Linked DNA regions of Schizosaccharomyces pombe. The protein of the gene in region 2 binds, or shares a complex with, the protein of the main gene of each other region. Each region holds a gene or a part of one and is shown on either strand. Other genes may lie near its edges. The genes, in order: arc5, arc1, arp3 and arc3. A codon is read from its position in the direction of its gene.

Region 1 (7,798 bases), on a different chromosome or scaffold from region 2:
TATACAAAGACATTATATTTATGGTCATATAGGGTGGAGAAAGTAGCTACTCATCACCAGACGCGGAAGAGGCTTCACTAGTTGTCTTGTCAGAAAAATTACCATGATCAACAGAGGCTTTCTCCTCGTGATCTGCTTCAGTTTCCTCACCAGTAGGTTCTTCTTTGACAGGAGTTTCTGTGGTAGCTGATTCGTCATCTTTTTCAATTTCCTCTTCTTTAACAGTATTCTTTTTAACTTTTTTAGCGGGAACACTTTCATTATGCTCACCTTCATTAGCTGCTCGACGAGCACGGGGGCGTTTTGTCTTTCTTTCGGCTTTAATGGGCGGAGCATCCGGTACTTTTTCAACAATGTCTTGAAGAAAATCAAACTGTTCAACACTTTGAACAGCATGCTTTAAATGAGAAACGGTAACACGCTTTGCTTGGTGCAATCGCGTCTGTTTGCACGATTCTTGAATTATACTCTGCATGAACAATTCCAACGCTTTCGACATAATAACCGGAGTAACTTGAGCGACCTTTCCAACGTCCTGGTCTGCTTGCATAATCTTTTTTATACGAGCAACAGGAAATCTGCTTTTCCAGTACGTAGCAGGATTTGGTTTAGTTTCACTATCATTATTATTTGTTGGATCACCCATTATAAGAAGCAGAATTAACAAGATAATTCGATATTAAAGTCAATAGTAAGTTGGCGTGTAAATGATTGTTTCGGAAATGAATCGCTTGAAGGAGCTGGTAAGTAAGGTAGTAACGAAAACGTATATTACTACCTCTATTGAGACTGTCTGTCAAGTTTTTAAAAAAATTTTTTTTCTAATTTGTCGAATTTGAGAAGTTAAAGTAAAAATCTTCTAGTGCCTAACAGCGGATCTTAGTATTCTTTATAACAAGGTAGTGGTGAAGGACTCGTTTAAAAGCAGAATTTTATGTAGGTCGCGGAAAGCAATAATTCGGAATCACAAGCGACTAACTTCCAGGAAATATAGCAAAGAAACTCGGTAAATATTAATTTGGTTTTCTTTTAGTCGCCATACTTGCCAAGTATTTTGCTCAATATTCCAAATGAAGGCAATTTAGAGGTTCATAATATGCATACAATCACAGTTTAAATAAGAATAAAATAACAGATTCAGATATACGTGTGTAATCAGAGCAAGCAAAACAAACCAGCAACCAAATTTTTAAATACTAGTAAAAAGTTTTTCTTTTCTTAAAGTAGTAGCGAGTAAATACATGCTTACAAATGAACTCAAAGTATTTAAAAGCTTTCATGCTTAAGATTGCTGCTAATTGATATAATATTCCAACTTGTTTTGACAACAAAGACACATAATTTGCAATGTCAGTGCTTTAATCTTTGTACGTAATAATTACTTTTACTAAGAAAATTTCAATTAATAATATGACATTAAATTTATAAAAAATTGATTTGCAATAGCACCTTTGTAGAATCCTTCGAACTAATGACTCAAAAGGACTCGCACTTTACCTTCTTCGAAGACGACACAACGATTATCACTTTCTATACAGAGCTATCCTTGCAAGATATGATTACTCTCTAATTTTACAAAACTAAACGGGATTAATATTTTTTTTTGCAAGAAACTACTTACTATGAGCTATCCTAAAGCACGCATAAGACGATTTTTTCGTCAGCATTGCCAGCGCAGCCTTGAAAGTTCCGCATTGGATTTGGTATGGAAAGTTATAAATGAAACTAGCTATTTCTCAGTCAGTATCTTTTTGGACGCGCTATTCTAATAAAGATATTCAAATTTTTTATATTGAATGTTTTCAACTAACAGAATTTTCAAGGTATATTTGGATTACTGTCTTTTCTTACAATCCTTACTAAAAGAAGCCAATATTGAAGCGGCTAAGACTGGGGAAAGAAGAGTACAGCCAGAACATGTTCGAAGTATTCAAAGAGTAAGCTAATATTGAATAAACTAGATTTATTATCTTTTCAGCAAAGGCGTAAATCGATTGCACTTTATTTTTTAAAATGGAACATACTTACTAACCATTTAGAAAATTCTAGCTCAATTTAAAGGATAAAAAGAGTCATTATGTGGGAAAGAAGACATAAAACAGAATCATTGATTCAGTTCCATAAGCGACAGAATAGTAGATACCAAAAAGTAAGATAAAGCCATATTTATAGATCGGGTCTACTATTGAGAACACGAACTATACATCCTATACCGGATATTTCCACCACCTACAAAACCGTATTAGTGACCGAATAAAAATGTAAAGCATGAGATAAGCAATGCTAGAGCGTTGGGAAAAGCAATAAACTAAAAGTTACCTTTTCGTGCCAATTAAGTAATACAGACGAGTTGTAGGCTTGAGGATTCGCCAATCCACGATAAATGAAGTTTACAATATTATCAATTTCCTCCGTTGAACATTCTTTTACAAATGCGGGAATGTCAGCAGCTCGTATATTGCTTAATACATCAACAAAAGCATTCAAATATTGAGTCTAAAAAAGTTAAAATTCATTTACACCATAATAAAATGAAATCAAGAAGAATTGTAAATTTAATCAATAAATAAAAACGTAATTGATATAAACCGTCTTTAAGCAGTTTGTACAGTTTGCACATACCCTAACTTCTTGAACATCATTTCCATAAGGAACATATGAGAGTAAGGTTTTCAAACCTTGTAAGGCATTTCCTCTATTTTAATTAATAAAAAAATTGCTTCTTTTAAATAAACATACGTTTGAATGGCAGACCGGGCTTGAGGAATGAGTTGAGAGACGGCTGCTTGGACTTGCTCCGCCGTTTCGTTACGAATTGGAAATATATCTTGCTCTGTTAAAACAGGTTCTGTGATGGAGTCGACATCCAAAGTCCGAAACGTCATTTTATAACTCTATAACTGGTAAGGTAAAGAAAACGATGGAACAGGTTAAGTTTCAGCTGTGTGTAGCTCTAAAGAGGCATCATACAACGGTCGAACGCAAGTCTGTAACTGAAGTTATTATAATTCATAGAGTATATTAATTTAACCAATAAGTTAAGAAAATTCAAAAAAATATATTTATATTTTTTTAATCTTATAACTTTAACTTATAATTTTTGAGCGGAGCTATATAAGTCTGGTAACAGCATTACTAACTTCTTCAGTACTCCATAGACCTCTTTTGTGGATGTTTATTTTTTTTTATTTGTAAATAATCATCTCTACCTTTGGTCTTAGATGTAAAGTTCTGAATAACTTGTAGACAGAAATTGGTTACATATTTTACATTTCTGCCTATGGTGATTCAGAAGAAAATATGTTAGATACAGCCTAGTAATTAGTTGAATAAAGATTAAAAGTAATTTTTTTTTTGCTTCTATCTATTTTCAGTATGTATATTGATGTATGAGTTTATACTTCTATTCGAACAATAACTTTTAAGACTTATTTTGCTGACAGAACTATGTAGTTTCTTGTGTAAAGTTCAAAGTAAAACGAAGAGACACATATGTAACATCCTGGGATTAACAGATTTTTAATTAGTGCTCAAACCAGCCAGTTACATTGTTACGTAGTATTTGACTCTCCAGAAGTTAATTATGAATGTAATTCAGTTAACTTAATTCTCTTCAAGCTTTTAACAATTTGCTCTGGGATTATCATACCCAAAAGCCATATACTTTGCGACTTGGAAAATAATAAAAATGACAAGAGATAAATTAATAAAATTTGAGCTCATATTATGTCTATCTGCTTTTTTTTTTTAATACAGGAACAATGAAAATGAAGGTTTTAAATTAGCCTGTTAGCAATTCTTGCAACCGCCGTACGCATTAAACTCTTCACATCAACATTACAGTAGAAGTAAAAGAACTAATTCGGCCATTTTTCTCAATAATTCGGTATAAACCGATATTCAGATGCATAATTAATTACCATTCATCTTTGTTATAAAATATGCCTGTTCACGGGTAAAAAGCATACCGATTGACTATTTTGCTGATTGATTATAGAGTTATTTATTATTCATCGCCTTCAATGGCGACGTTCCTTTCTCCAGCACAGGATAATCTGGTTAGGACCTACTTTGCACAACATTTAAGTAAGCTGACACTGGTTTGGATTTTATTTCTTATGATTGATGATTTCAAGATCTAACTTTGAATTTCAGAAAAATGGGTAGTTCAGTATAAACTTTACAGAAATGCTGTCACTCCAAAAACTTTAGAATTTTTGAAGCAAAACATTAATCCCAGCATGCTGGCGTGTGTGGATGAAGCGACAATGATTGATGCAGAACCTGAACTTGAGGACATCATTGTGCGAACGAAATTATGGAATTTTCGGCAGTCCTTTACTATTGAAGGTTCAATATATGAAGTAGGGAGCTTTAAAGTGGCTATTGCCAACGTTTTACAAAAGTCCGTTTGGAAGGGTATACTTTTTCATGTAACTTACGATGGTACTGAGTCCGTCGATCTCGCACGCCCTATTATTCAAGAATTCTTTCTTAAATGCTTTTTACAAAATAATAAATCGGTAACCCCTGTCTATGAAAGCTTCTTTAACCAGCCTCGTCATTCTTTGGATTCAAAACTTCTACTACAGTTGTTTAAACAACGCATTGATACCGTTTCACAACGCACATAGAATAAAAAAGTATCAATTTAAATTTTTTCTGTAAATAAATTTCTATCTAACTAACTGTCAAAGTCTTGCTTTATTGTCAGCAGAAAGTTATGGCTCCCTTTCACATTTACAGATACCAATTATGTTTAATAATAAAATAGAAATGCAGGAGTTTGAATAACAACCCATTTTAAACTCGATGCATTTCACTGTACTCCAAAAAGTAATTATTCATTCAAAATTATTCAAATAAACTCTAGATGAGATTATGGAATCAGCATTAAAAGCTTATTAATCAACCTTTACTACCAAAACATTAAACGTCTAAGTTTCCAAAATACTATGCGCGCTTATAAAAGCATTGAATATGCTTTACTCTAAGGAATCTGTAACAGCACCCTTGGAGGCAGTGCTAACGTTGCGAGCATATTTTAAAAGGGTTCCTTGTTGGTACTTCAAAGGAGGTGCCTTCCAAACACTGCGGCGTCTCGCCATCTCCTTCTCATCAACCATCAAATCTAAAGTGTTCTTTACAGCATTGATTTCAATGACATCGCCGTCCTGAACAAGAGCAATAGGGCCTCCAACTTGTGCTTCGGGATCAACGTGTCCAATCAAAAATCCGTGAGAGCCACCACTGAAACGACCGTCAGTCAAAAGTGCAACATCCTTTCCAAGACCAGCTCCCATAATAGCACTTGAAGGCTTTAACATTTCCGGCATACCAGGTCCACCTTTTGGTCCCTCAAAACGAATAATGACGACAGTCTTCTCGCCCTTCTTGAACTCACCACGCTCTAAGGCAGCAATAAAATCGTTTTCGGCATCAAAAACACGAGCTTTGCCGGTGAAGTTCAAGCCCTCTTTGCCAGTAATCTTTGCGACAGAACCTTCAGGGGCTAAAGAACCACGGAGGACACGTAAATGACCCTCGGTCTTGATGGGGTTGCTCAAAGGTCTAATGATCTTTTGACCTTCGGCAAGGTCCTTGAATCCTCGTAGGTTCTCAGCGAGAGTTTTACCAGTAACGGTAATATTAGAACCATCGATGAGACCTTCAGCATGGAGATATTTAAGTACTGAAGGAATACCTCCGATAGCGAACAAATCTTCCATAACGTACTTCCCGCTAGGCTTCATATCGGCAATAAACGGTGTACGGTTACTGACGGCTTGGAAATCATCCAAAGTTAAAGTGATACCAACAGACTTAGCAATTGCGATCAAATGAAGAACAGAGTTGGTAGAGCCACCAAGAGTCATCGTCAAGACCATAGCATTTTCAAAAGCAGAACGTGTCATGATGTCGCGAGGTTTAATGTCGTCAACCAAAAGTCGCTTTATAGCACTACCTGCAGCTTCGCATTCTGCAAACTTCTCAGGTGAGCCAGCAAGGTAAGAAGAAGAACCGGGTAATGTCATACCCATAGCTTCGGCACAGCTAGCCATTGTATTTGCAGTATACATACCACCACAAGCACCACCTCCAGGACATGCATGACGAATAATGTCATGACGGGTTGGCTCATCAATTTTTCCTGTGATAAATTCACCATAGGATTGAAAAGCAGAAACAATATCGATGGGTGCATTGTTCTGACAAGGAGAGTGACCAGCACGAATACTACCGCCGTAAACCATAATACTAGGGCGGTTGAATCTTCCCATAGCGATTAAACAACCAGGCATGTTTTTGTCACAGCCAGGAATAGAGACGTTGGCATCATACCATTGACCTTGCATGACGGTCTCAATGGAGTCTGCAATAATCTCACGAGATTGCAAACTATAACGCATACCAGTAGTACCCATAGAAATACCATCACTAACACCAATAGTATTAAACTGGAATCCGGTCAATCCAGCCTTTTTGACACCTTCTTTCACTCGTCGACCGAGATCAAGTAAATGCATATTGCAAGGATTTCCTTCATACCAACAACTAGCAATGCCGACTTGGGGTTTTTTCATGTCCTCCTCATTAAGTCCAGTAGCATATAACATAGCTTGGGAAGCACCCTGAGACTTCGGACCAGTGATTGTTTCACTATACTTGTTCAATTTCTTCTCGACTAAATTGATCGAAGAGGTTTTAAAGCCTTTTAGGCTTAATGCAGCTCTTTTGCTAGCAATACCGTTTTGACAACGGAGAAGCTTGCAGAACATCATCTTCTAAAAAAAAAATTTCGCTTTGTTTAGACTATAGAAAATTTTCTACTAAGGGTCAACTCCAGGATTTCTTCAAATTCCCCTTTTATAAATAATAATAAACAAAGGAAAATATGAAAGAACAAACTTATAACAAACTTGGTGTTAGATTTAAATGGAATATCTGCTGGTGACTTAACTTATTCACCCTTGGTTAGTGGTCCTGGTAAAGTATGCTAAACCGGAGATGCGAAATATAAAACACGGTTTATATCTCGGTAAATCAAACGAATCAAGAGAAAGCCCAATCATTTCCTAAATAAATCAATATAAAAGTGACATGATTGGATATATGGTATGACACATAAAAATCTATGAATGTACAGATCATGGTGATCGTACATAGCAAAAACGTTGTTTTAACTAAGAGGCGAATTTTCAGTAAGAAAAAAGCATGACTAGTATTTTTGTCGCTTCATATTTCACTTTTGATTGACATAGAGATGCTAAGAAGCTTTGATCTTGCGATTATGAAACTAAAAATTACAAATTTTCACATCACCGTAGATTGATTTTAAGATTTTTCTAATTTATTTGATTTCTAGCAATTAATGATACGAAATGTTTTATTACATTTGAAAAAATAGTCCTTTGACATGGCTACCTACATTAAACCATCCAACCTACCCATTGAAAAGTAGATGGTTGATTTTTTCATTCTTAAGACTTTTTAAATAAAATATATATGATCAGAATTCAATTTTACAGCTTATCATTTTTGACATATCCCAGAAAAAGTTAGCTTACTGAACATTCTATTTGATATTTTATTTCTTGTTCGAATTTGTATTGACTGCTACTGGACGAAAAGTACTCAAATAACGTAAATTAGGGTGTTGTTAACATGAATACGGAATTTTGCATTTTGGTGCTTATACAGTTAGACTGAAGGATCTAAAAGATGATATGTGTATGTGTCCCACTTCACTTGATGTGAATGCATTTTAAAAGGTCTAGTAAATCATTCATGAATTTGA
Region 2 (8,014 bases):
TTATTGAAGAAGTTTTCAATGAATACGTACTGTCAGTATACATGTGAGCGAAGTCAGTTGTAAAATAAGGCGGAAATGGAAGCGGATTATGTGATAATATCATGTTATTAAGGAATTTAAATTTGAATAGGAGATAAAGATTAATATGATTTTTTGTAATTTTTTTGGGCATCTTTGTGGATTTTCTTTGGAGATACGTTTTAATGAATGTGATGCTGAGTTAAGTAGCTTATGAGCTGCTGCTTAAACACTCGTTCATGATTATTCGATCATTAGTCTTTACTGTCTGGATTCCTTCTTAGCAAATTGTTTCCATTCTTATTTACACTGATTATTTCGTTGCTGATCGTGGTATGATCTGTATTCTGTTTATCCGCTACCTTCAAAATCGGGTCCTTTTAACTTTGGTCACAATCATATGAAACCTTGACTAACGGTTATTAGATTATAATGTCAACCCCCTTCAACCGTGTGCAAAGACCCAAACGCCATGTCTTCAATTGCTTAGTACAGAATGAGCCTGGTGTTTTATCCCGTCTTTCTGGTATTTTGGCCGCTCGTGGATTTAACATTGATTCCTTGGTTGTTTGCGCAACTGAGGTAGAGAATCTTTCTAGGATGACGATTGTTCTTCGAGGGTATGTAAAGTAATTGATCCAATTATAATTGTCACTGACCTTTTTTACTTTCCTTCTAATTTTTATTAACATTTTTTTAGAGCTGATGAAGTCGTTGAGCAGGCAAAACGTCAGATTGAAGATATCGTATCTGTTTGGGCAGTCTTGGATTACACCGGTACCAGCATGGTCGAGCGTGAGCTTCTTCTTGCAAAAGTTTCGCTTTTGGGCCCTGATCACTTCCAAGAGCATTTTGAGAGAAGTGAGAAAGTTGCCGAGTCTACCAATGCTAAAGCTAAAAGTGATGGTGAGGGTGTCATGAATGCGAATGCTGCTTTACAACTTCGTGCCAGTCAATTGGCTGCTATCAATCAACTTACTACTCTCTTTCATGGTCGTGTAGCTGATATTTCTACGGAGACTATTATTCTTGAGTTGACTGCTACTCCTGATCGTGTTGATAACTTTCTTTCTTTGTTGCGTCCCTATGGTGTCTTGGAAGCATGCCGTACTGGTACATCTGCGATGACTCGCGCACCCCATTCTAACGAAGTTACTGAAGAAGCTGAGGACGATGTTGAAGTTGAAGAGGTTTTCCTTCCTCCTGGATAAACCAAAAAAAAATCGCATTCTTCGCTTCTACTTTGATGCTTTAAGCATTTTTTCCCATTGTACAAATATATTCACTTTGTGTTTTGTACATCCAAAGAGCGGTTGTACTTTTTGCGTAAAAATTTTAGTTATTTTTTTGAGATTTTTGTATAGGAATCTACGAATATACATCGAAATTTATTTGGTTAGATGAAATTTGTTGCTATGTTGTCTTTATTTAAACAGCTGTAGGTAACATATAAACGATAACATTGTTTTGCATTACTTTTTATTATTAAAAAAGACTATGATTTCATCCTTTTTATAAAAGTCATTAGCTTGTTGAATAGCTTGATTTCAGTGTAATTACACTGTTGGCATGGATGGTATTTTAAGGTGTTAAGATAGCTGGCTAACTTAACACCGTTGGATTTCGTAAATATTTTAGACAGAGCCTTTGATTGCCTCTCTTCTGTAGATGGCATTTAATAAGGATGAATAACTCCATGTCAAATCTCTTGCACCTTTTTGGTGACCATCGTCACGCGAAAATTGTTCAGACATTGAACCATTTGGATGTTGGAACTCAGCAACAGCTTTTAAAAAGTTATCAGCATATGTGTGCATGTTTTTCCTGATAACGGACCAGTTGTATGGATCTCCAAACTCAGCAAATTTCATAAAGAAATGGATGTTATATTCAGTCAATTCTGGTAAACCTTTATTATCGTAGTATGCGATTGCTTTGTAGATAATCTCGGCAGCGCTGCTTGTGCAAATGAACCAAGGGTTACCAATAGACTTAGAGACACCATCGTATACATCCTCGGGATAGCGTCCCATTGCTTGCTTCCATCCCTGATTGACGGGATAATCTCTGGTCATGGTTTCTTGCAACTTCAACAAGGTTGGAAGGATGTGCATATCAAACTCATTTGAGTAAAGGCTTGCAAGCAAAGTGGAGCAATCAAGTCCTGAGCGATCGACTCTGCCTTTATAACCCTTAATAACACCCATTCCAGGATCCCAGAACTCTCCCAGTTTTAGATCAATAGGCTCGATCGTGCGTTGGTAGAGTGCGGCTTGGTCAGGTGCTCCAATTCTCTTTGCAAAAGCTGTACCATCTTGCATGGCACGCTTCTGAACGGCTAGAGTAAAGTAATGAACGTCCTTAATTTCTTCCCAAAGATCAAAGCTTGCCTCTGTCCAGTGATTTGCAGTATAATCCAAGTCGGCTAATACAGCCTCAATCCAGACAGTAACTTCATGGACCTCTTTACCATTTTCAAATAAATAATTCATGTATTTGATAAATGCAATAGCCCGAAGAGCAGGGGAATCATTCTGGGGACGTCCCCAATCTCCGTCATAGCTTGTCCCATCAACATTAAATTTAGGCTCACCAAGACCTCCGGCGTAAAAGTCTCCACTTGGGTTCGGGACCTTTTGGAGCCTGACCATTTCATCCATATATTTGACGATAATCGGCTCAAGTCCTTTGTCCCCTTCAAAGAAACGATCTAAAATAGTCATGATCGTCAATGCACTATCACGAACCCATTGATAATAGTAATCAGGGGAATCAGTTGAAGGGGAAGCAATAATACATCCAGGATTAATATCCTTAGCATGCATACCGCTGTCACCGATATTGTTCAGCATATGTCCCATAGCAATACCCTTTTGCTGATCCGTCCATTCATCCATAGAAGCTTCCTTGCTTCTTTTATTAGGGGAAAGTAAGCTTTCTGCAGATACGACCCCCCCAAGGAGTAAGAATAACCAGTATGTACGCATGTTGGAATTTAAAAGTATTGTAAAATTGGGTAGACTATACAAATATTGATGGCAATCGTGTTTAATTATATAGGCAAACGAATAAAAATATGCGCTTTAGTTAAAATTTAACTGGAATATTTGCTCTATATATGTCTTTTGCTTTGTTTATTAGTAAACAAAAACAGAGGGAATTACCATCAAAATCGATCATCATGCTGCGACACGAATGGACAAAACTAGACTATATAAGTTAGTAAATAAACAGAGTAAATGAATGTGATTGATCCTTTTTGGCTTATACTGAAAATTTGGCGAAGCAAGGATTACCAAAGAAAATGTATTTATTGTTTGTTTATTTTCAACACTTGCTTATAAAGTTTGATTCTATAGTATTCAGATCTATGATAATATGGAAGTGTGCATTCACCAATTACTTAAATAGCGACAAAATTTGTTGAATTGGAAAAAATCGACAGCACAGCTTTTAATATCAAATACGCTACTGAGTCTGAGTATAAGCAACAAGTGTGATCTTTTTAAATAATCATCGTTAAAAAGCACAAAATATAACTGTGATAATGGACAAGATGTCGCTGTCAAATTCTGAAGCAACGTTTCAGTTACTCCAGCAATCATTAAAACACATCTCTTTGTTGTAAAGGAGAATTATTGTATTATGCTCTTCGCCCTATTATTTATTCATTAATAAGAAAAATACTCAGAGAGCATCGTTCACTCACGATTGTCAAGACATTAAGATCTATTGTTCTTCCACAATCAACGCAAATAGAAATCTTGTATCCACCTCATATTTTAAAAATAAAAAATCTCTAAAAGATATGCAAGAAAATCAAATTTTATTTAATGGAATTTTTTTTAGTCTTAATTGAGTTGTAATATTTACAAACCTTTAAAATGTAAACAAAGGAGTTACCGATACCATCGATATGCGTTATCGTATATAAAGTACTCTAACGTTTTTTGTTAATGTATCTACTGCTCTCGTCATCACCAATATCGATTCAGCCTTGGATATCGTCTATCATCCGCAAAACAGTAGACTGCTAGTCCTGTTACTGAAAAATGGCTACCTCTCAAGTTTTACACATTCTTCCTAAACCCTCTTACGAACACGCGTTCAATAGTCAAAGAACAGGTACAGTATAGGACCTAAATAAGTAGATTTTAACAAATTTGATATAGAGTTTGTCACCACAACTGCTACGAACCAAGTTGAACTTTACGAGCAAGATGGAAATGGGTGGAAGCATGCCCGAACATTTAGCGATCACGATAAGATTGTAACTTGTGTCGATTGGGCTCCGAAATCCAATCGAATCGTAACTTGCTCTCAAGACCGTAATGCCTATGTTTATGAGAAACGTCCTGATGGGACTTGGAAGCAGACCCTCGTCTTACTTCGTTTGAATCGTGCCGCTACGTTTGTTCGTTGGTCGCCTAACGAGGACAAGTTTGCTGTTGGTAGTGGTGCTCGTGTCATTTCTGTTTGCTACTTTGAACAAGAAAATGACTGGTGGGTCAGCAAACATCTGAAACGTCCGCTTCGTAGTACCATTTTGTCTTTGGACTGGCATCCTAATAACGTTTTATTAGCTGCCGGCTGTGCAGACCGTAAGGCATACGTTTTATCTGCTTATGTTCGTGATGTCGATGCCAAACCAGAAGCCAGCGTTTGGGGTTCACGTTTACCTTTCAACACTGTTTGCGCTGAATACCCATCTGGTGGTTGGGTTCACGCCGTTGGATTTTCACCTTCGGGTAATGCCTTAGCGTATGCTGGCCATGATTCTTCTGTTACGATTGCATATCCCAGTGCTCCCGAGCAACCCCCACGAGCTCTAATTACTGTCAAATTATCTCAATTGCCTTTGCGTTCTCTTCTTTGGGCGAATGAGAGTGCCATTGTGGCTGCTGGCTATAACTATTCTCCTATTCTTTTGCAAGGCAATGAGTCCGGTTGGGCCCATACTCGCGATTTGGATGCCGGAACTTCCAAGACCTCATTCACTCACACAGGAAATACTGGTGAAGGTAGAGAGGAAGAGGGTCCTGTTTCATTTACTGCTCTTCGTAGCACATTCCGTAACATGGATTTGAAGGGCTCCAGCCAGTCTATTTCGTCTTTACCAACCGTTCATCAAAATATGATTGCAACCCTTCGACCTTACGCTGGGACTCCTGGCAATATTACTGCGTTTACCTCCAGCGGTACCGACGGACGTGTTGTTTTGTGGACTCTTTAGAAAAGATATCGGCAAATGAATCTTATCAAATCAATTATCGAATTTCCGTAGATGTTAATCTCATAGAATAAAAGAATTGAACAAGCTTTAGCTAGATATAGTAACTGTTATTCCGCAGCTTATATGATTACTATGTCGTCTTATAAATTTTTGTCAATCATATTCAGTTTTGTGTATATATTTTTTCTTAGAGACCCCAAAATTGAGAAGTGCTTTTGCTACGTAAGTTTACTTATACCACCACTTGAGACTGAACCACGGGTATGCGTTCTTACGAATAATCATTAGATATAACTTAGATTAAAGTGTTTATTAATTGTATAGTTAGTAAAATTAGTAAAGATCAACCTGAAAAGTTTAAACACCAAGTTGGATAAATAATATTGTTCAAATTTATGTAATCCAAACAACGAAATTGAAAGGATGTTCTAATTTGATCCTTTCGGCAAAATTTGAAAACCGTAACGCGTGAAATAAAAATATAATGAATAGAAAAAAAGAATGAGAAAGAAATGATAGTACTATCTTCTGTCAAAAAATCGTTTTAAGGTACCAATGTCTCCAACAGCTGTAATGACATCCATTTCTGGAACAAGCAAACTAATGATTCGGTCCTGAGGCTTTCCGTTACGCTGCTTCGTGCGCAAACGAATGATTGCAAGAGTTTCTAAAGAATTCGCGACATCGCAAAATTCCGAACTTGTTAATGGATAAATCAAACGATCTCGAAGACACAAAGAACTGTATTTTTCAAATACATCGGCAACACTCAATGAGGTTTTTTCACAAACAACAAGCGTACAAAGGATGGCTTTCTGTTGAAGACCAAGGTTTTTTAAACGAGCACTAGCAGATTGGCTCATAGCAGATGTCGCTCGGACAACATGAGCAATTGATGCTCTTGGTATATCAACAGAAGATAATGTGTTGTCATGTTGAGCTTTCCATTCTCTTTCCGCAAGTTCAATTGCATGCCTACATATGTCTAATGCTTTTCTCAAGTCACCACTTGAAGCTGCAACTTTCCGGGCACATAATTCAATTGCAGCAGGATGTATAAAAGGTGTTTCATCAGCATGCTGAGATACAACATTTATACTATCATCGCTTACTTCAGAGATTGATTTAATAGGAGTAAAAGGATTGTTTTTTTCTGATGTGGTAGCGGCGGTTTTCAAACGCGCTTTTATAATTGTTGAGATTTCTTGAGCAGTATAAGGCGTAAAAGAGAGTAATTTGGGAGTAATATGCTTTGTTCGTAAACGAGGGAGAAATCGATCTGTCATGTCTAAGGCATTTGCAATGCCTACCAAAATTAATCTCGAAGTCGGTCGAGAGGGCCATTCAAAAAGCGTGTACAGAACCTGCTGTTCGCGAGCAATCAAGTGATCCATTTCATCTAAAACAATAATGACTGGGTTATATAATTCATTGGCGGACTGGGTGAAATGCGACTCTAGTTCACATTGGAAATTGATGTGATGATCTTCATTTTCTAAAATTTCCTCTTTAACAATTTTAGAGTGAATTTTTTCAAAAATTGCTTTTGGTTCATTAATAGTCATACAATTAATGTAACAAACATTAACTTTGGGATAATCGCTCACTACATGATCCAGCACGTTGTGAAGCAGAACGGTCTTTCCTGTGCCAGGGGCACCACTTACGTACAATGCACCTCCAGCATTAGCATCAAGATGTTGACGAAAGAAAGATTCCACAATTGACTTCTCATTTTCACGACCCACGACTCCTGCTGAACGATATGATTTACGTAAACTCAATTTGGCAGTAGAATTATAGGACGGAGTGGAGGGTGTCGAAGGAGTGGGAGGAAAAAGTTGACGGTGAGGTGTCGATTGCAAAAGGCGAGTAGCAAATGGAACAGGATTACATGTACGATTTAATGATTTGGGTGTAACAATTTGAATGGTCCTTTTGGGGGTTTTAGGAGTTTGAGGTGTTGTGGGTAATTTAGGTTTCTTATTCTCCTTTAACTGAGCAGGAAAATTAGGATAAAGGTCAGTTTTCTCCTCTTGCAGTTCTCCTAGTTCATATTTTATTCTTTTTGTGGGTGTTTGGAAATGTGAGCTAGCCAGCGTACGTTTTCTGCTGGGTGTAGTCGGAATCTCTATTGAAAAGGAAGGTGAATGCTCCCTTTGATTAGTTTTGTTAGTACAGTCAATCAAGGCTGCAGAATCTATAAAACGATTGCATCTTCGAGGTGTATGACAACCTATTGGAGTTTCACACATATCGATACTTTATAGTAACCCCGTTTACTAATTATGTTATTTACCAATAGACAAGTCAGGTAAATTTGATAAAAGGGCTACTAAGTAATATTAACTTCGTGCTTGGTGTTTAAGTTTTGTTTAAGAGCAGATATGTCTTTTATAAATATACGCGACGCGACACGTAAACGCGAAATCTAATTAATCACGAAGAGTAAATGAGATGTCGCGTTCAACTCTACGTGTCGTGTCGCGTTCTACGCGCGAACCTTTTTACTCTATAAGTTTATATTCAGGTAATGATATTATTTTATAACGACTCATCCTCAAAGATATGAAATGCCTTCTCATATTCCAATTTAGTTACGACGTTAGTAAAATTAAAGTAAAAGACCCTAAATTCTTTTAATAAATTAGAAAATCTTTTTTCAATTATCCCTAAAGATAACAGAGGTCCCACGAACGAATTTTTGATGGACCATACCATCTTTGGTGCTAATGGCCAATAAAGCAAACAGCATTTCGATTA
Region 3 (8,282 bases), on a different chromosome or scaffold from region 2:
GGGTTTCCGCATTTTGAAATACGGAAAGATCCCTGGGACGATTTTTTAAAAACGAATCAGGAACCCATGATAACAAAATATCGCTTCCGGCCACTGATGAATTTCCTAGCGCCTTTGACTTAGACAAGGACAAATAGCCAGATATGTTATCCTTCATTTTCGATGTGGGATGAACAAACACCTTGCTTTTAGAGAAAAGGAGAGCGACCTTCGAATTGTCGATGTGTATGTCGACTGTATCATCTTCGACCTCTGTCATCTCTGGCATATCCAGAGATTCCAGCGTTGTCATTACAGGAATAGAAAACAATCAGTTAATTCCAAATTTTAAAGAAAGAGGAAATTGCTAAAAATCGTTTAACGCTGCAAAGGTACGAGACTTTGTTGTCTTGCAACAAGCACCTATAGCTAGGTAGTGGCGATGCACGTAAGCAAGCAGAGGGCTTAGTATAGTAAACGCATTAGCGGACACCAGTGTGCTTGACCTTAAATTGAATATGTTGAATTTTCTGATAATTATTTTTCTCTTTACAATAAATTATTAAATATATTATGGCTTTGACCTTTGTGATAGCTTCTCCTGTACGAAATAATCCGAATAACAAAAATTTGAATAAACATTTATCCACCTCAACTACTCTATTAAAAAGAACAACTGAAGAGATGAAAAATTAATTGCTTTAGATTTAGATGAAACAGATGAATCTCTAATTAAAAACTTTGCAGTTTCCATTCAAGCGACATACTAAACCAATCTTTTGTTTACAATTTAACGATCACCTCGTAGTAGCTCATTATTTAAACGGAGATCGTCAAATTCACTTACGCTGCATAACCAAGAGCAGAAATACCAAAAGTAATTAATTCATAACTAATTTGCCGATTGTGAAATAAATTTATACAACACAGTTAATACATAGGCGCACGGATGATCTGAAATCAAAGCATATAATTATACATGGTCAGCTTTTGGATGCTTCCGGTGACTGCCGTATCGTACCGTAAATATCGCAAAAAAATCCAGACTCTGGGGAAGGAGACGGGAAGCTTTATGGCTTATCTTTGTTTTTTACAACAGTTTTAACCTCACTTTTACAAACCTCAAAGTAATTGAGTAAAATTAAATTGGAAGAATAATAATTGCCTTGCTATATCAGTGAGTTCACTGGATTGTTGTAAATTTCTGACGTTCAGTCTTAATTGAGCCGTGGCAATTGAAATTCTACTGGGAACACTACACGTTCAAAATTATAATCAAACAAAAATGGGGGAAGAAATATCAGCCATAGACCTTGTGATGGCTAATGATCAATTGGTTTCAACATCAGATGCTTCAGATATCCCGTATGACCCTTACTCCCAGTTCTGGGGAAAAGTGTTGGTATTAACGTTTGGGATAATCTGCGTTGTGTTTGTCATATTTATGTTGCATCATGAAAGAATTAAAGCGTGTCGAACCATAATTTCTGCACGGGAACAGCAGAGAACACAACACTCAATTCACAGGAGAGAGCGCTCTTCTTCCGGAGCATCACAACAATTCGAACATCATGTTCGACAGACTGATTGCCTCCCTCTTTATGAACCTATTACTGCTCTTAACCAGCAGTACTTGAAAACTTTACCCACCACAAGCACACCTCCCCCGCCCGCAATATTTGATGAAAATGGTGAATTTGTCGGCGACGTTCCATCTGTTGCCGGTGCAATTGAACGCCCACCTTCTTATGAATCATTACCTGCTCCGCAAAATGATGAAGTTTAGTTTTTTTTATGATGACTACTTGATTGCTTCTGCTTTCTCTCAACAAATTCGTTGAGTACTTGTACACTTTCCATTTTATCCATCGTTCTTGAATAATAAAGTATTTATCAGGCGGAACCCATCGGTTTCATCCGTTTTCTTTTTTTTTCTCCTTTTACGTTATTAGTAATCACTATATTATTATTCTCATGGTTCTCATCATTATTATTTGGACAAGTTAATTATATACATCTTATTTGATATTGCTCAATGAAAAAGCCTGGAAACATAGCAAACCTCAAGTCTATTTCTTCTAAGGCTAATGCCTGCTCCATTAAACTTTTCATTTTAATCAGTAAATCCTATAGACGCAAAACTCATGATATATTTCATTAAAGAGAATTTCCAAAAATTTGGTACCTACGAGCAATGGAAGCACCATATTCTTCGTAATCTGCTTTGGTATGGCAATAGGATCCGAATTCAGGCTAAACATGTCAGTAAATCTCTACGGGTAAACTAAAAAATATACAAACATAAGATAATGACATACCGTTTGTGCTAGTAAACTGCCGCCAAACCAAACCGCATTTCGTTGACGTTTATGGGAGATAACATTAACGTCTACACCACCACTTTTAGCACCGGAGAGCATTTCACTGCGGTGAATACGCTCGTCAACAATCCGCTTGAGATCTCTTTGTAAGCGGTTGCCAAAGTTCTTAAACAAAGTACTACCACCAGAAAGGACAATGTTTTTATAAAGGCCTTTACGAACGTCAATGGGTGAGCTCTGTACGACGTTGTCCACAAGTTCCGGAAGAGGGGTCAAAAAATCGGAAGAAGCAATCTCAGGATTAAAAAATATTTCAGGTGCGAGGAAGCGTTCAAATCCTACATCAATAGTAGTAGAGTGTCCAGTAATTGATTCAGATGCATATTTTAAATAACGGTCGGGCTCACGATCAAATCTACTAAACTCCTTAACAATGTCCGGACAAACGTAGCAACATTCCTCTTTAATTCTTTCAGCAGTTTTGAGACTTGAATCAGGTTCATTGCGGTCACGTAATAAGGATTGAACAAAGTACGTAACATCACGACCAGCAAGTGGCATTGTCTTAATGGAAGAGCCGATAACATATCCTTCGGCCTAAGGTTTATCAGTTAGTAAAATTCGGGCATATATATATGCATTTAATGTTCAAAACTGTTTATCTAAGCTCGTATTAGATTTTTTATACATACAACAGGAATAATATGAGTAACGCCATCACCAGAGTCAACAACAGTACCGGTCAACGAACGATCAGTAACTTTTGAAGATGTCCAAGAGGCGGCAAGAGCCAAAACCGCTTGAACAGCAATGTAGAGTCCTGCACAGTTGAACGACTCAAACATAATCTCTGCAGTATTTTCACGGTTTTCAGGTGGATTCAAAGGAGGTTCGGTCAAAAGAAAATAATGGTCCTCTGGTTCACAACGTAAATATTTAAAGAGAGACTGTTGCCAAAAACGCTCCATATGGTCCCAATTTTCTATTTGTCCATGACGGATAGGATAGTCCAAAGAATATCCAGCAGACGCCTTTTTCAATGCATCGTTTCCAATAAAAAAGTCCAAGTCCTCAGTTGCCCTTTTGCTTGAGAGATGCCCACTGCCTTTCGAGGCCATGTAAGAAGGCTTTGATGAAACAGCCGGCCCTGAAGAAGCACCCGCAGAACGCGTCGCAATAACAGTGGGGAATACATAAGAAGGAGCATCGTTCCCAGCATAGCTGAAATTAAATTACTGTTAATAAATGCTCAAAAGAGAGATAATAACATCCTAAAACGACTATTACACATACCCAAGCTTGCTATAGCCGGTACCGCTAACAAATAAAGTTAGTAACTGATATTCACGAACAATTTAACTTCGCTACATCAATACTTACTTGTCCATTATAATGGGAACATTAAACGAAGCCATTGCTATTATTTTATGAAAAGGTAAGCGAAAGAGAAGTTGGTTCCAGTTGAAACTCTTAATATCGTCTCGCAACGGTCACCGATGTCGAATTACGTGGGTTAACGGGAAACATATGGTAATTTACGAGATGAGCCGATTACGTTAAATGCGAATGCCCGTATACAACCCACTTTGGATATCTTTACTAAGGCCAAATTAATTTACACAAAAAATTAAATATGTATTTCTTCAATACCAGTACCACCGGTTAAAATTACCAAGTTGCTAAGCTAGAAGACGCTTCTTGCTACTAGAAAATTAAATATTAACGATCTTGCGTTAATCCCTTTTCAGTAATAAAACTAACCACGTTGGTATTATCAAACAATTACAAATGTAGATAGCTATGTCGAATTTTTAAACAAATCATAGTATTAAAGACCTTATGCTTTAAACCTCTTAGCCTTAAACATTTTTAAGCTGTAATCATGGATTTTATATTCACTCATGTAGCAATTATTACTTGTGAACCAAACCATAAACTGTTATTTTAATGCTATTAATTAATGCTCTCATTTGCAATTTCTATTTCAGTTTGCATTCACAATCACAGTTAGGAACCGGACATATTGTATGAGTTGAAAACCATTCTGAAGCATGAGATGCGTGAGCTCCATGGCCACAATTTAGACAAAAGCTAAACCATAACCCAAATCTAGATTTCTGAAGATTAACTTCTTTGACATAGTTTTGAGGTTTTTGAGAAAAGTCATCTTTCTGAGGAACATCTTCATCTCCTAAAGAAAACCCACATACAGAGCACTTTGGAAGAGGCTGTCCGCAATGAGGACAACTTTTTCCCAAGTGTTTTGCTGGGCCTGCTTTACTGACACCTCGTTGAATTGGCGTTGGTAAATTATTACATTCATTCCTATTGGAGAAAGGAAAAATTGGTTTTCTACAAAAATTGCAGATAATGCGTATAGATGGCTCTGTAGCCTTTCTGGTTATTTCTCCTGTGTGATTTTTTGAGAGTTCTGTCCGAAAGATATCAAACTTTGCACGCTCACGGTAAAGTTTCCAGCGGTTTAGAAGCTCTCTATAACTTTCAGTCCAATCCTCTGCACGTTTATCCAGAAATTTCTTAGGTACCACAAATGCAGCAATCAATGCAGCAGTTTGAACATCGCTTGTATGATCAATGTAGTTCTGCAGAAGTTCCATTCCCAAAGGAGTTAAACCTGTAAGTAACAGGCCTTCTGGGTCGCCTGATTGCACTGTAGTGTGACATAAATCGCACAAATAATTACTCAAATCGTCATCTGGTAAAAAGCGAAGAGCAATTCCAAGACGATCTTTTAATGAGAGAGAAACTTCATCTAATACATCTCTCCAATCGGAGTTGGAAACATACGCAAATATTGCACGTAAGTATGGATCTTCCAATTCTGTACTTAAGTTACGAGACATTTCTTTCCACAATGAGTCACTTCCAAAGTTACTTAAGCCTTGCGATGTAATGTATCCGGCAACTGCTGTGGATATGGTCTTCTCCAGCTCATTCCCACTTGATAATATACGGACTACGTTTTCAATTTTTCCGTGGAAAAGTGCTAACCCAGCGGCTTTTACATGCTCATTCTTGCGAATCAGTCTTCTAATTTCCAACAACAAGTCATCATTTGACATTCCTAATCCACAGGCAAGTAAAGCGAGTTGGCGTAAAGGCCTTTTAGTTTGGATAGACGTAAATATATCTAAATCAAGTCTCTCAATAACATCTCTAGCAAGTCTTAAAATTTTTTTTTCTAAAAATTTGCTTTCTTTTGCTTCAAAAACATCGGACATGCTAGTCAATTCAGTATCCATAAACCAAATACCTAGTGCACCTTGATAGCTGAAATCTGTATCTCCTGTGTCTCCAAACAGTGATTCTTCTGATTGTCTATGGCTTAAGTGAATCCAAGACCATAGATCTTTTAAGTATAAATCAGAAACTAATTCTGAGTTTTTTTGGGAATCAAATTGGTAGCCCTTTTTGACGCGATCTAGTATTGTCCCTTGAATATCAGATCCAAGGACGCGGTTATAGGAAAGCAATACTTCATGAGCGGAATCCTCTGAATTGATTGAGTTGTTTCTTGTCGTTAGAAAGACTTTGGAGGAACAAGAAGACGAGGAATCGAAAGAGTTTTCATCGACAAATTCGCTGACATCAAATTGTGGGACATCAGAAAGTGTGTTAAATGGTGAAGAGTTTAAAGGATACAGTTTTTCTTTGAAGGAAAATATCAAATCATTATAAGGGTTAAATGAAAAGGGAATGACCTCATCATGGACAGAAAAAAGTTTCGGTTGTTCGTTTATGACACCCAAAATTTGAACATGAGTTGGAAAGGCTGTAGAAGGAGTAAAAAAATCAATGCCAGAACATTGTGAATTTGGTTTAACAGGATATTTCTTCTCATAATTTACAAAGACAGAATTATTTGCGGATCCTTCATTTCCATTGACACAAGGCAATAATTGACGAAGTGTAATCGAATTGTTTGACAAAACAGCCAATTGTCCAGGTTTCCATTCAGAATATTTCAGTGCAAATAATTGTGGATTTTTGGGCTTTTTATTTTCGTTCCGTAAAATAATTTGTAAATAATTATCGGATTTGAAGTATCGAGTATCAAAAATCGCAATGTCACCATCATAAGAATTTGCGGCAAAATAGTTAGGAGAAAATGGATCAACAACTATATTACTATAATATTGCGTATTGACGGAAGAAACTGAGTCTAGTTGCTGCCTAGTATCAATTATATGGACAGAACGCGAAGTTGATCCGGTAAGCAAAAGAGGAGTGTCTTTCTTATAACAAACGGAAGAAACTCCGTCTAGAGTAGAAGACTGCATTAAGGGACTACTCTTCGGGTCAGACAGTAATGAATTCAAGTCCCATAACTTCAAGGAAGACTCGTTTCGAGATTTTGCAAATCCAGCAACAAGATGTTCAGTTTCAGAAAATGCCAAACTATTGCAAGGGCGAGCATATCCAGGTGTTACTACTGCTTGAAATTCTGGATGCTTAACAGAAAGCAATGATATATTTCCGGTAGAAGAACCAGCACCCAATATTTCATTGTTTCCGTGAAAAGAGTCTATACATTTAACATTTTTCAATGATCTCCAAATAATGTGAGTTTTCCAATTTACTTTAGGGGAAGCTTTGACGGCGACATATCGAATCTCATCTGAGGAGCCGTTAACCCAAAAATAACAGCCATTCCTCTTTTTACTTCTATTTAACATTCTCTAAAGAGAAATTTGACAATTAGGCTTTACCAGAAACGCCCAAAATACTGCATAAACATTAAACAGAGCTTGATCGAAGCGTTCTTCAATCTCAACCACTCGTCAAACATAACGTTTAGCACTAATTTGCTTAACGATAGCTAACAGAAATGCCTTAACAACGGACTGAAAAGAGGCTGTCAAATTCAAAGGTTTTCTTTTTGCTATTGATGATTCTCTTAACAATAGTAGTATTAAAATACAGACCGGTTGCTAGATTAACTATCTTTTGCATACTTTTTAATCTCTAGGGTGACTTCGGTGTCGAACAAGCGATTCTTTGATGTACTGTTGAAAGTCTAAGCTTTTAAATCACTCCACAAGTACAACATATAAATCTACCTTGAATAAGTGTGAGTGAATCAAATATTTTAATCATAATTACCAGCTTAAACTTATATATAAAAGTAACGTGTCACTTGAGAACCTAGCAGCTGTAAAAATTGCAGTCCTTTAAGTTTACTACTGTTCTTCACCAGAACTAATTGTTTATGGTTTGAATTTCTATTTATCTATTTTATTGAGCGTTTTAGCATGCCAAAATTTAAGGGCCCTGGACTTTCTGTGCTGAAGAAAAAAATTCGCGACAATGAGAGATTATTGAAAAAGGTGTGTAATTTTTTTGCTGGTTTAAAAACATCTGCGGTTTCAGTGTGTAATAAATATTACCTTCCTTTTTATGTTAATGAATAAGAAAACTAACTTCCTTTAAGGAGAATTTGCCTGCAAACATTCGTGTTGAACATGAACGAGCTCTTTTGGGTCTACAAGAGCAGTTGTCTATGGCACAGTTAGAGCATAAAAAGCAAAAGATTTTTGAAAGATACAAAAAAGTTCGATTTTTTGGTATGAAACATATATAAAAACAGCATTTTTTGTTCAGTGAACTTGCTTACTGATTTTCTCAGAACGTAAAAAAGCAGAACGACGTATTAAACAATTGGAAAAATCTTTGAAGGATGAAACTATGGATGATGAGAAACGCAAGCAGTGTGAGAAATCGATGCGTAAATGTCAAATTGATCTTATGTATATTAAAGTATGTTTGTATTTTCGACTTCATTTCAACTATCAACTTGGCTAAGATACTAACCTATTTAGGAATACCCCCCTTTAACAAAGTATGTTTCACTCTACGCAGAAGGCACATCTGAACAGACCGAAGAAACTCGAAATCGCATTTGGGCCGAGATGGAAGAACGCTTTAATAGTGGCAGAAAACACAAAATACCATCTTCAGGTT
Region 4 (7,800 bases), 900 kb from region 2:
TTAAATTGGTCGGTTAAGGTTAGAATTTCCTCATTAGTGAGCTCCGGATACTTCTTTTGAAGTTTAAGAGCTAACATTTCTTTAAAAGTAAAATTTGACCAAAAAATGTATAGTAAACGAAACCACACGATGTGTGCTTTGGGTGGCTTGCAGTTGCTACGTGACAAGGATTAACGTCGTGTTGTTGATGCACATACATCATACTTACAGAAGCGTAGAGCAAAACTTTGATCCGCTCGCTAAATGAGTTAATACACGTTTGCTTAGCCAATCTGTTAAAAGTTAATTTGCAATTGTAAAAAGTAATTTACTACTTGACGATGTCTTGCGTTGTAGCTTTAGATTGAATATATAGCTGGGATATCAACTACATTGAATTTTAATTTTTTTTACAGAATAAAAAGCTAAACGTAAGTCCATATCAAATTAGCGATATTACCGAATTCAAATGCCATAAACATCACAAACTAGCAAGCTCTTTCAATTGAAGTCAACTGATGCATCGACTTGAAAATTACTTAGTACTATATGTCAAGAAGCCAAAATTTCTACTTACTATGATAGTAGATCCTTTGTAAAACGTTGCAGAAAGTTTTTCCGGCCGTGAAAATTCGTGTTTTTTTTCTTTTGTTCAAGGGTTTAGGTCACTGAAGCCAACAATTTTTGATACAATATAAGAAAAAGAAGTAATTCCCGCTTTTAACTGCGCAATAGGATAAAAGATTAGCCAGATGTCACAGGGTTAAACTTTTAACCTGACTACCTTTTCACGTGTATTTCCAGTCTCGTTTATAAGCTGCAATATAAATATTGTATGATATTACTGCGTGCACCAAGATTCTCTTATATTATTTTCTTATAATCTACAAAACTCACAATACTACTATAACGATGCTTCAGAAGATTAGCTGTTCCGGTATTGTTGAAGCATGGTGAATTTCCTTTGCGGCTGCTGTTGTAAAATATTGTCTGACAACTATCCAAATAAAACCTATGGGATTTTTGCAAAAGGCAAACACTATTTTCATAGAGGCACCGCGTTGCAGGGATTTTCAGCAGAGATGATTCAATATTGCAATCAAACACAGTAGATATAAACATAACTTGAAAAGCTAATGAAATACATAAAACATAATTATATTAACCATAATATTCTTAACTTATTGGTTTCTTCAACACTTCCAACTTCAATGAAGCAACAAGTTAGAGGTTTAACTTCTCCACAACGCCAAAATTGCGACTTAGATGATAAAAATATTAAAGTCTAGATAGAGCTCAGAAACATCAAAAAAAACTATGGAATATGATGAGGAAGAAGTAAAAGTTTTGAAAGAAGTTTTAAGCGCGTTCTTTTTGTACAGGCAATATGCTCATACAATAACACAACAGAAGAGAAAATCGATGAGCAGGTTGTCTTTTGAACACAAGGACTTACTCTTACAGGACTCTGACAACAATTTTTTAAAGCATCTTTCAAGGATTGATCAATGTATCGAGCAGAACAGCGTGCTTGCTGAAGCAATCGCTAACGCAGCCATTCCTGTGTTCTGCAGTGATTTCGATCAAAATGAGTTATTTCATGTCAATGTTGATATGATGCAAAAAGTTTCAAGCACTCTCAAGCAAATTGCGAGAGATTGGTCGACCGAATGTGTTGAGGAACGCCGTACTACATATGCTCCTTTCATCGAGGAACTAAATTCACTTTTCCCATCTGATTCTATAGACAGATCTAAAATTCGTGTACTTGTTCCAGGTTCCGGCTTAGGAAGATTGGCCTTTGATATAGCTGTGGAAGGTAGGTACACTTGATACTATCAATCAAAAATAGCATGATTTATTATTTATCTGATTACATGTTTTCTAACTTCTTTCTAAATTTGGATTTTTGGACATAGCTTCTAACATTTAATAGGCTTTGCATGCCAAGGAAATGAGTTCTCATATTTTATGCTTTTAACGTCGCATTTCATACTGAATTGCGTAAAGCAGGAAAATCAGTTTCTTGTGTATCCTTATATTCATTCATTTTCGAACCATGTCATGCGTGATGACCAGGTGCGTTCATTAAATATTCCTGATGCAGTTCCCTCTCAATATCTGCGGAATTCACAAAACTTTTCAATGGCAGCCGGGGATTTCCTGGAGGTATACGGCACCGAAGAAAGTCGTGATTCGTTTCAAGTAGTAGCTACCTGCTTCTTTATAGACACTACAAAAAACATACTGGACTATTTGGATACAATTAAAAACTGTTTGGTAGATGGAGGTTATTGGATAAATCTCGGGCCTTTATTGTATCATTTTGAGTCAGAAGGTACTTCTAATTCTAACAGTGATAGCCAGCAACAACCTTTCGTTGAATTGACTCTCGAGCAGCTGTTTTACGTGATGGATAGTATGGGATTTGAGGTTTTAAAGCACAATTCGGTCGACACGACTTATATGGGGGACAAACGAAGTATGCTTGAATGGATATACCATCCTCATTATTGGGTCTGCCGTTTGCAAAAATCAAAATTACGATTTCAATAAAAATTTTTGAACCAACATTGAATATTACGACTTTAATCATTCAAATATTCCTTTAGCATAATTAACAAAGCTAATTGATAACTTGTACATGAAAGTAAAGCGATTATTTTTGCATCTACTATCTACGTATAAAACTGCCTACATTAAATAAGCCATTCGTACGCTTCAAAAACTTTATAAGCCGCATTTGAAATAAAGGAAACGGAAAAACATAAAGGCTTTGAAATACAGTATGAGCCAAATTATTAATTAATAGACTCACAAAGCTTTGTTCATAAAACGTCTCTTGCTGAAGCAAGTCCACCACTTGCTGGGATGATCCTTTTCAGTTGCATATACATGGGACAAAAGACGATAAGCAAGTTCCTGACGAAATTGAGTAAGATATGTACGCATTATTTCTTTTTTTAATAGTTAGCAAATGAAAAAAAAAGCAAGAAAGCTATTAGCGGCACAAACATCTATATGTCTAATGCCACAGTTTGGGTGAATCTTACCAGCATCTTGAGGAGAAAGGGGAGGAGCATATAATGCATTCAAGGGAAAGCCAGCAGAGCCAGGAATAGAAAAATTCTCCAACGCTAAACTATTAAGTTGACGTTCAGCATCACGATAATTGAGTCCATTAACTCTTCCCAAGCACTCACTGATAAATAATGTTCCATAAATTAAAGTACGGTCTGCTGGTCCCTTAATCTCAAAATTGCGGAAGAAACAATTGGCGCGAAACAGCCCAATGCATTCATCAATAATATCCATTTGACTCTCATCAGCTGTATAAAAAATGTTAGAAAGTACTCTAATAACATTAAGAATAGTCTTTAAACAGAGTTGACAAATATCTGGAACATACCAGGATAAGCCGGTCCACGAAACTTGGTTTTCAACGGCAGCATTGCTATGTTTCCCGTGGTAGGGACGTCCGTAAGACTTAAGAAGGAGGAATGATAGGCCTTTCATAACATGTCAGCAACAAAAATTCAAAACTTTAGAACATACCGGCATATCTAATGTCTAGTGCTTATGATGTTGTTGGATAACTTGAGCACCTGCTGAATGTGCCGATAGGGAGCATTTCGTCAAGCATCAATAGTGATAAATTAGCTTTTCTTTAAACAAAATAGCGAAAAGCTATGTAATTACAGTAAAGCAATATAGCGTGTCGTTTTTTTGTTTTGTGATCGGGTCTCGGTCTCTACTTTATAACTAGTTTTCATCAATGGAAATGACATAGAGCCAATAAATTTGTAGCGAGAACCAAATTCATAAGCATTTGCACGAATGCATTTATTGCTTGAAAAATTATAAAAACGTCAAAAAAAGATTTTCATGTTTGGTTATTTTGATTTTGGGATCTAACGTACTGACTTATATGGGGATAGACGGTCTTTTGGGACCGTAAACATTACTACATCGGAAACAATTCCCCCCTGTTAAATCTTTCTGTGTTGGATATTTTAATACAGTTTAGTAGGTAATCTGTTTTCTCCAGAGTGACGGAATTGAGGATATATCTGAAAGAGCATGGAAAACCCTTCCCCAACTAGAACAACCAATTTGCAACGAATTCGGTCGTTGTACAGGTTACAAGAAGACAAGAATAATTTAAATATACCAGAACCTATTAATGGAAAAGTTCAAGAAATCGATACAAAAGAGTCATTGGAAAATGTGGATCGTTACGGAAACTATCGCTCAGACTTTAATGTTAATAATTTAGGGTTCTATAAAGTTAGTAAAGACCCAACATTAGATAAACCAAACCCTGCCAAACGTCTTGGCAATAAATTAATCGGCCATGATGACATGCTGAAGTACGTTGATGAAAGCATCTTCATGGTTGTTCCCGGCGAGTCGCATGACCGCAACGAAATATCAGCTAAAGAGCTTTCCCGTATTCAAAAATGGAAATCGATGTGTTCAATACACCTCGTTTCCGGTAATCAGCTCCATTCTTTTCGAAAAACTCGTAAGTTAATTTTACGTACATTTAAGGGGATTCCAGATTGTTGGCGATCTATTGCGTGGTGGTCCTTTCTTGTGGATTCTCTTCCTGATAAAAAACTGATTGACAAGTATTACCAATTGAACGAGCAGATTTGTGACTATGATGTTCAAATTGACCTAGATGTTCCCAGAACAGCTGCTACACATTTCTTATTCCGAAAACGCTACATTGGAGGGCAACGTTTACTATTTAGAGTTCTTCATGCTGTAGCTCTCTATATACCTCGTGTTGGATACGTTCAAGGAATGGCTTCTATTGCTGCGACCTTGCTCATTTACTATCCCGAAGAACAAGCATTTATAATGATGGTAAATTTATTGGAAAATAGAGGCATGGGGGACTTGTTTTCTTCCGGGTTTGATACACTTTTAAAGGCTTTTGACATGCTTAAGCATGAGTTAAGTTTTACACAATCAGGCAGACATCTGGCGGAAATTGGAGCAGAACCATCTGCTTTTGCTACACGTTGGTATCTCACTGTTTTTCATCAATGCGTGCCCTTCCATACTCAATTACGTATATGGGATCTCCTGTTTTTATTAGGTGGAAGCAAAGGTCAAACTGTCAGGTTATTGCAAGCCACTTCTCTTGCGGTTATACAAGGAATGTGGGACACGCTAATTGATGCAGACTTTGAAGTAGTAATGCAAGCTCTGTCAGGTGTTATTCCCATTCAAAACGATAACGCCCTGCTTGCTAGAATTCAATTATTTTGGGAAAAAATGCCTTCTGAAAATTCTTCTAAAAGTAAGAGAAACTGATATTTCTAACTCTTTTTTAATAGCTTTATTAATTGTGGCCCACATGATGTAACATATGTCAACAAGATGAGGATTGATATCACAGAGCTTAGCATAATGGGTCCTGAACATTTATCATTTTCTTTTTCTGTTTTAATTTGGAACGTTGATAAACATTATTTCCTTGATACCACAAAACTTTTATTGGTATCAAGAGTATGCGCTTTAAATCGATCCTATCTAACTCTCTCTTCTTACTAATATTATAATTTTAACATCTCACCAAAAGAAATGGAATTTTAACATAAAATTAATTCAAGTATATATATTATAAATACTATACATATATATGTATACATAATACCTCTCCATCTTGCGACTTCCTAGGTGCGTCGTAATTTCTAATTATGTATAGCTTAAATAGTTAAATATTACCAAAACACTGACGACAAATAATAAAATATAAAGAAGGTAGTAAATGGGTTGAAAAATCAAATAAAACAAGGTATGGGGTTACTCTTCCTCGTTCTCTTCTACATTCTCTTCTGAAGAACGAGATTGATGAGAAGACGCAACATCAGCAAACTTAAGGATTTTGTCTTTATACTTGGTGACATCCCCGGAACTGTCTTCTATTATCCAGGACTGGACCTTATCTTCAATCAAGAATCGCTTGGAACTATTTTCATCAAAAATCACTACAACACTGGAATCCTTCAAGTTCACCTCCATCTCGATAAAAAGTCTCTCATGTTTTCCTTTACAAACAAAAGCGCATCGACCAACATCAGTTAATAGCATAACCCTTTGCTTTCTTTTCAAAAACATTTTTGAGAGTCCAGATGGAAACTTATTACCCTCAGGTACACTTGGAATGGGTGATACGAAGACCGAGGTAGATTCAATGATCGACTCAGACGATGGAACCAACTTGTAATAAAGTCTGTCAACAGGCATCTGATGGCTTCGAAGTGAAGCATAGCCATAATGAGCAGTTGGAGCAGTGAAACGATTTACCGTAGGAAGCTCCTGACGTCGAGCAGTTTCCTGATGCTTTACAATGGATGCAGAAGCAAATGCCGCGGCAGCATTAGCAGCAGCTGCGGCTGTCACATTTGAGCGATAATAAGCAGGAGCATTAGGAATGGCTATGTTATAATTAGGCCGGAATGACTGCATAGGAGGAGGATCTTGAGTCCATAAATTGTCCCAAGTAATAGTAGCAAAAAAAGGAAATTGTTTTATTTGTTGGGTTGTAGATCGATCAGATGGCTGAATACGGAAAAGATGGCTAAACAAAGGAACGATATCAGGTGGTAAGAGCTTTGGAAGCTCATATTCCAGGCTCATTATCTTTTTGAAAATATTATTAGGATTGCTGCCATGAAAAGGAGGGGAACCAACAATCATTTGATAAACAACACACGCAAAAGCCCATAAATCGGAACTTAAATATTTGTCAGAAAAAAAATAGACTGGGATAATAGGTTTTCTTACGATTTTGAAACAACTTGTCTAGACAATAGTTCAGGAGCAACATATTCCGCAGTGCCAACAAAGGAGCTTGGAAAGGTAGTGTAATCAGGGCTATTTACATATTTAGGGGGTAGGATTTTGGCTGTGCCGAAATCGGTAATTTTTACATGCATATTTCCATCAAATAAAATGCTAAAAAATAGGTTAGAATTAGGAAAAGGAAACGAACATTTAATGACCACTACTCAAACATACTTTTCTGGCTTGAGATCTCTGTGAATTATACCGCAGGAGTGCATATACTCGATACTTGATAAAATCTCAGCAGCATAAAAGCGCACACAATTCTCATCAAGAAAACGATACTACCAAAGCTTAGTTAATAAAGGAAAAATGAATAGACTAATGAAAAAATATACCTTTTTGATGTATTGCAAAAGTTCACCATTGGGTGCAAGTTCAAGCACATAATAAAGTTTTAAATCATCCTGAAATGTATGGAAAAGACGAGAGATACCAGGAAACCCATTAAGTCTCATCATAGAATCTCTCTCTATATTCACATACTTAACCTTATTTTCCTTGACAATATATTTTTTATCAAGGACTTTGATAGCGTACTCCTTCCAACTCTTTTTATCAGTTGCTCTTCTCACCTAACGAATATTAGACAACTTATTCGTCAGTAATCGAAGGTCCATAGGTTAATCGACCTGCGGTTGAAAAACTTCTGAACTGAGAAGCAATGTATCAACTTACCTTTGAGAATGATCCATCTCCTATAATGTCACCAAAAACGTAATCCGCCGGAGATTTGATCGATCCTATATGACTTGTTCCTGGTACTACGTTGGAAGACTGAGGTTTTACCGGATTTCTTTCACCTCTAGCCTCGAAGTAATCGGGATCCGCATAATCCGGCAATGTACTTCGGCTAATGCGTTTATGCTCCAGATCCATCATTTATAAAAGAGGTTTTCATGAAAAATGAAGTTGTGTTTGAGTTACTTTACGTTTGCTGTTCGATTCCAACTGAAACAC

The links.
Region 1: the proteins of arc1 (region 2) and arc5 are in contact, whole or in part, in a crystal structure (PDB 3DWL), measured with the Schizosaccharomyces pombe proteins. Residues at the interface, in NP_595909.1 of Schizosaccharomyces pombe: Gly205 (codon at 4,730), Gly206 (codon at 4,733), His225 (codon at 4,790), Asp226 (codon at 4,793), Ser227 (codon at 4,796), Lys248 (codon at 4,859), Leu249 (codon at 4,862), Ser250 (codon at 4,865), Gln251 (codon at 4,868), Leu252 (codon at 4,871), Pro253 (codon at 4,874); in NP_593727.1 of Schizosaccharomyces pombe: Ser137 (codon at 2,217), Gly138 (codon at 2,214), Ile139 (codon at 2,211), Gly140 (codon at 2,208), Val143 (codon at 2,199), Arg144 (codon at 2,196), Asn147 (codon at 2,187).
Region 3: arc1 (region 2) and arp3 share a complex: the UniProt entries of both Schizosaccharomyces pombe proteins name them as parts of the arp2/3 complex.
Region 4: arc1 (region 2) and arc3 share a complex: the UniProt entries of both Schizosaccharomyces pombe proteins name them as parts of the arp2/3 complex.

The regions. Positions count from the first base shown.
Region 1 is NC_003424.3:2,346,386-2,354,183, forward strand, and holds arc5 (ARP2/3 actin-organizing complex subunit Arc5), read right to left. Parts: upstream 2,940-7,798; 5' UTR 2,886-2,939; coding exon 2,740-2,885; exon of another isoform or gene 2,696-2,739; coding exon 2,623-2,695; exon of another isoform or gene 2,583-2,622; intron 2,497-2,582; coding exon 2,320-2,496; intron 2,230-2,319; coding exon 2,167-2,229; 3' UTR 2,067-2,166; coding exon of another isoform or gene 2,040-2,066; 3' UTR 1,938-2,039; downstream 1-1,937. Other genes in the region: negative cofactor 2 complex subunit Bur6, read right to left, coding at 47-646; CENP-W family protein Wip1, read left to right, coding at 1,623-1,703, 1,824-1,937, 2,040-2,066; mediator complex subunit Med20, read left to right, coding at 3,942-3,955, 3,998-4,086, 4,156-4,634; ilv3 (dihydroxy-acid dehydratase), read right to left, coding at 4,986-6,782.
Region 2 is NC_003423.3:2,210,368-2,218,381, forward strand, and holds arc1 (ARP2/3 actin-organizing complex WD repeat subunit Sop2), read left to right. Parts: upstream 1-4,030; 5' UTR 4,031-4,070; coding exon 4,071-4,143; exon of another isoform or gene 4,144-4,190; coding exon 4,191-5,251; 3' UTR 5,252-5,450; downstream 5,451-8,014. Other genes in the region: acetolactate synthase regulatory subunit Ilv6, read left to right, coding at 445-638, 719-1,229; meu17 (glucan-alpha-1,4-glucosidase), read right to left, coding at 1,653-3,005; cdc18 (MCM loader), read right to left, coding at 5,773-7,506. UniProt on the Schizosaccharomyces pombe protein: Functions as a component of the Arp2/3 complex which is involved in regulation of actin polymerization and together with an activating nucleation-promoting factor (NPF) mediates the formation of branched actin networks.
Region 3 is NC_003424.3:345,910-354,191, reverse strand, and holds arp3 (ARP2/3 actin-organizing complex actin-related protein subunit Arp3), read right to left. Parts: upstream 3,760-8,282; 5' UTR 3,716-3,759; coding exon 3,681-3,715; exon of another isoform or gene 3,618-3,680; coding exon 3,594-3,617; exon of another isoform or gene 3,522-3,593; coding exon 2,993-3,521; exon of another isoform or gene 2,898-2,992; coding exon 2,298-2,897; exon of another isoform or gene 2,233-2,297; coding exon 2,137-2,232; 3' UTR 1,896-2,136; downstream 1-1,895. Other genes in the region: GTPase-activating protein Gyp7, read right to left, coding at 1-292; SPOM_SPAC630.04C (uncharacterized protein), read left to right, coding at 1,265-1,765; GATOR2-SEACAT complex ubiquitin-protein ligase E3 subunit Sea4, read right to left, coding at 4,280-6,997; efg1 (rRNA-processing protein), read left to right, coding at 7,574-7,648, 7,753-7,885, 7,948-8,078, 8,141-8,282. UniProt on the Schizosaccharomyces pombe protein: Functions as ATP-binding component of the Arp2/3 complex which is involved in regulation of actin polymerization and together with an activating nucleation-promoting factor (NPF) mediates the formation of branched actin networks.
Region 4 is NC_003423.3:3,108,665-3,116,464, forward strand, and holds arc3 (ARP2/3 actin-organizing complex subunit Arc21), read right to left. Parts: upstream 3,574-7,800; 5' UTR 3,541-3,573; coding exon 3,535-3,540; exon of another isoform or gene 3,489-3,534; coding exon 3,389-3,488; exon of another isoform or gene 3,309-3,388; coding exon 3,033-3,308; exon of another isoform or gene 2,937-3,032; coding exon 2,794-2,936; 3' UTR 2,536-2,793; downstream 1-2,535. Other genes in the region: fim1 (fimbrin), read right to left, coding at 1-77; SPOM_SPBC1778.07 (carnosine N-methyltransferase), read left to right, coding at 1,297-1,798, 1,916-2,535; SPOM_SPBC1778.09 (GTPase-activating protein), read left to right, coding at 4,060-5,304; pdk1 (serine/threonine protein kinase Ppk21/Pdk1), read right to left, coding at 5,797-6,730, 6,781-6,951, 7,015-7,124, 7,179-7,415, 7,519-7,722. UniProt on the Schizosaccharomyces pombe protein: Functions as a component of the Arp2/3 complex which is involved in regulation of actin polymerization and together with an activating nucleation-promoting factor (NPF) mediates the formation of branched actin networks.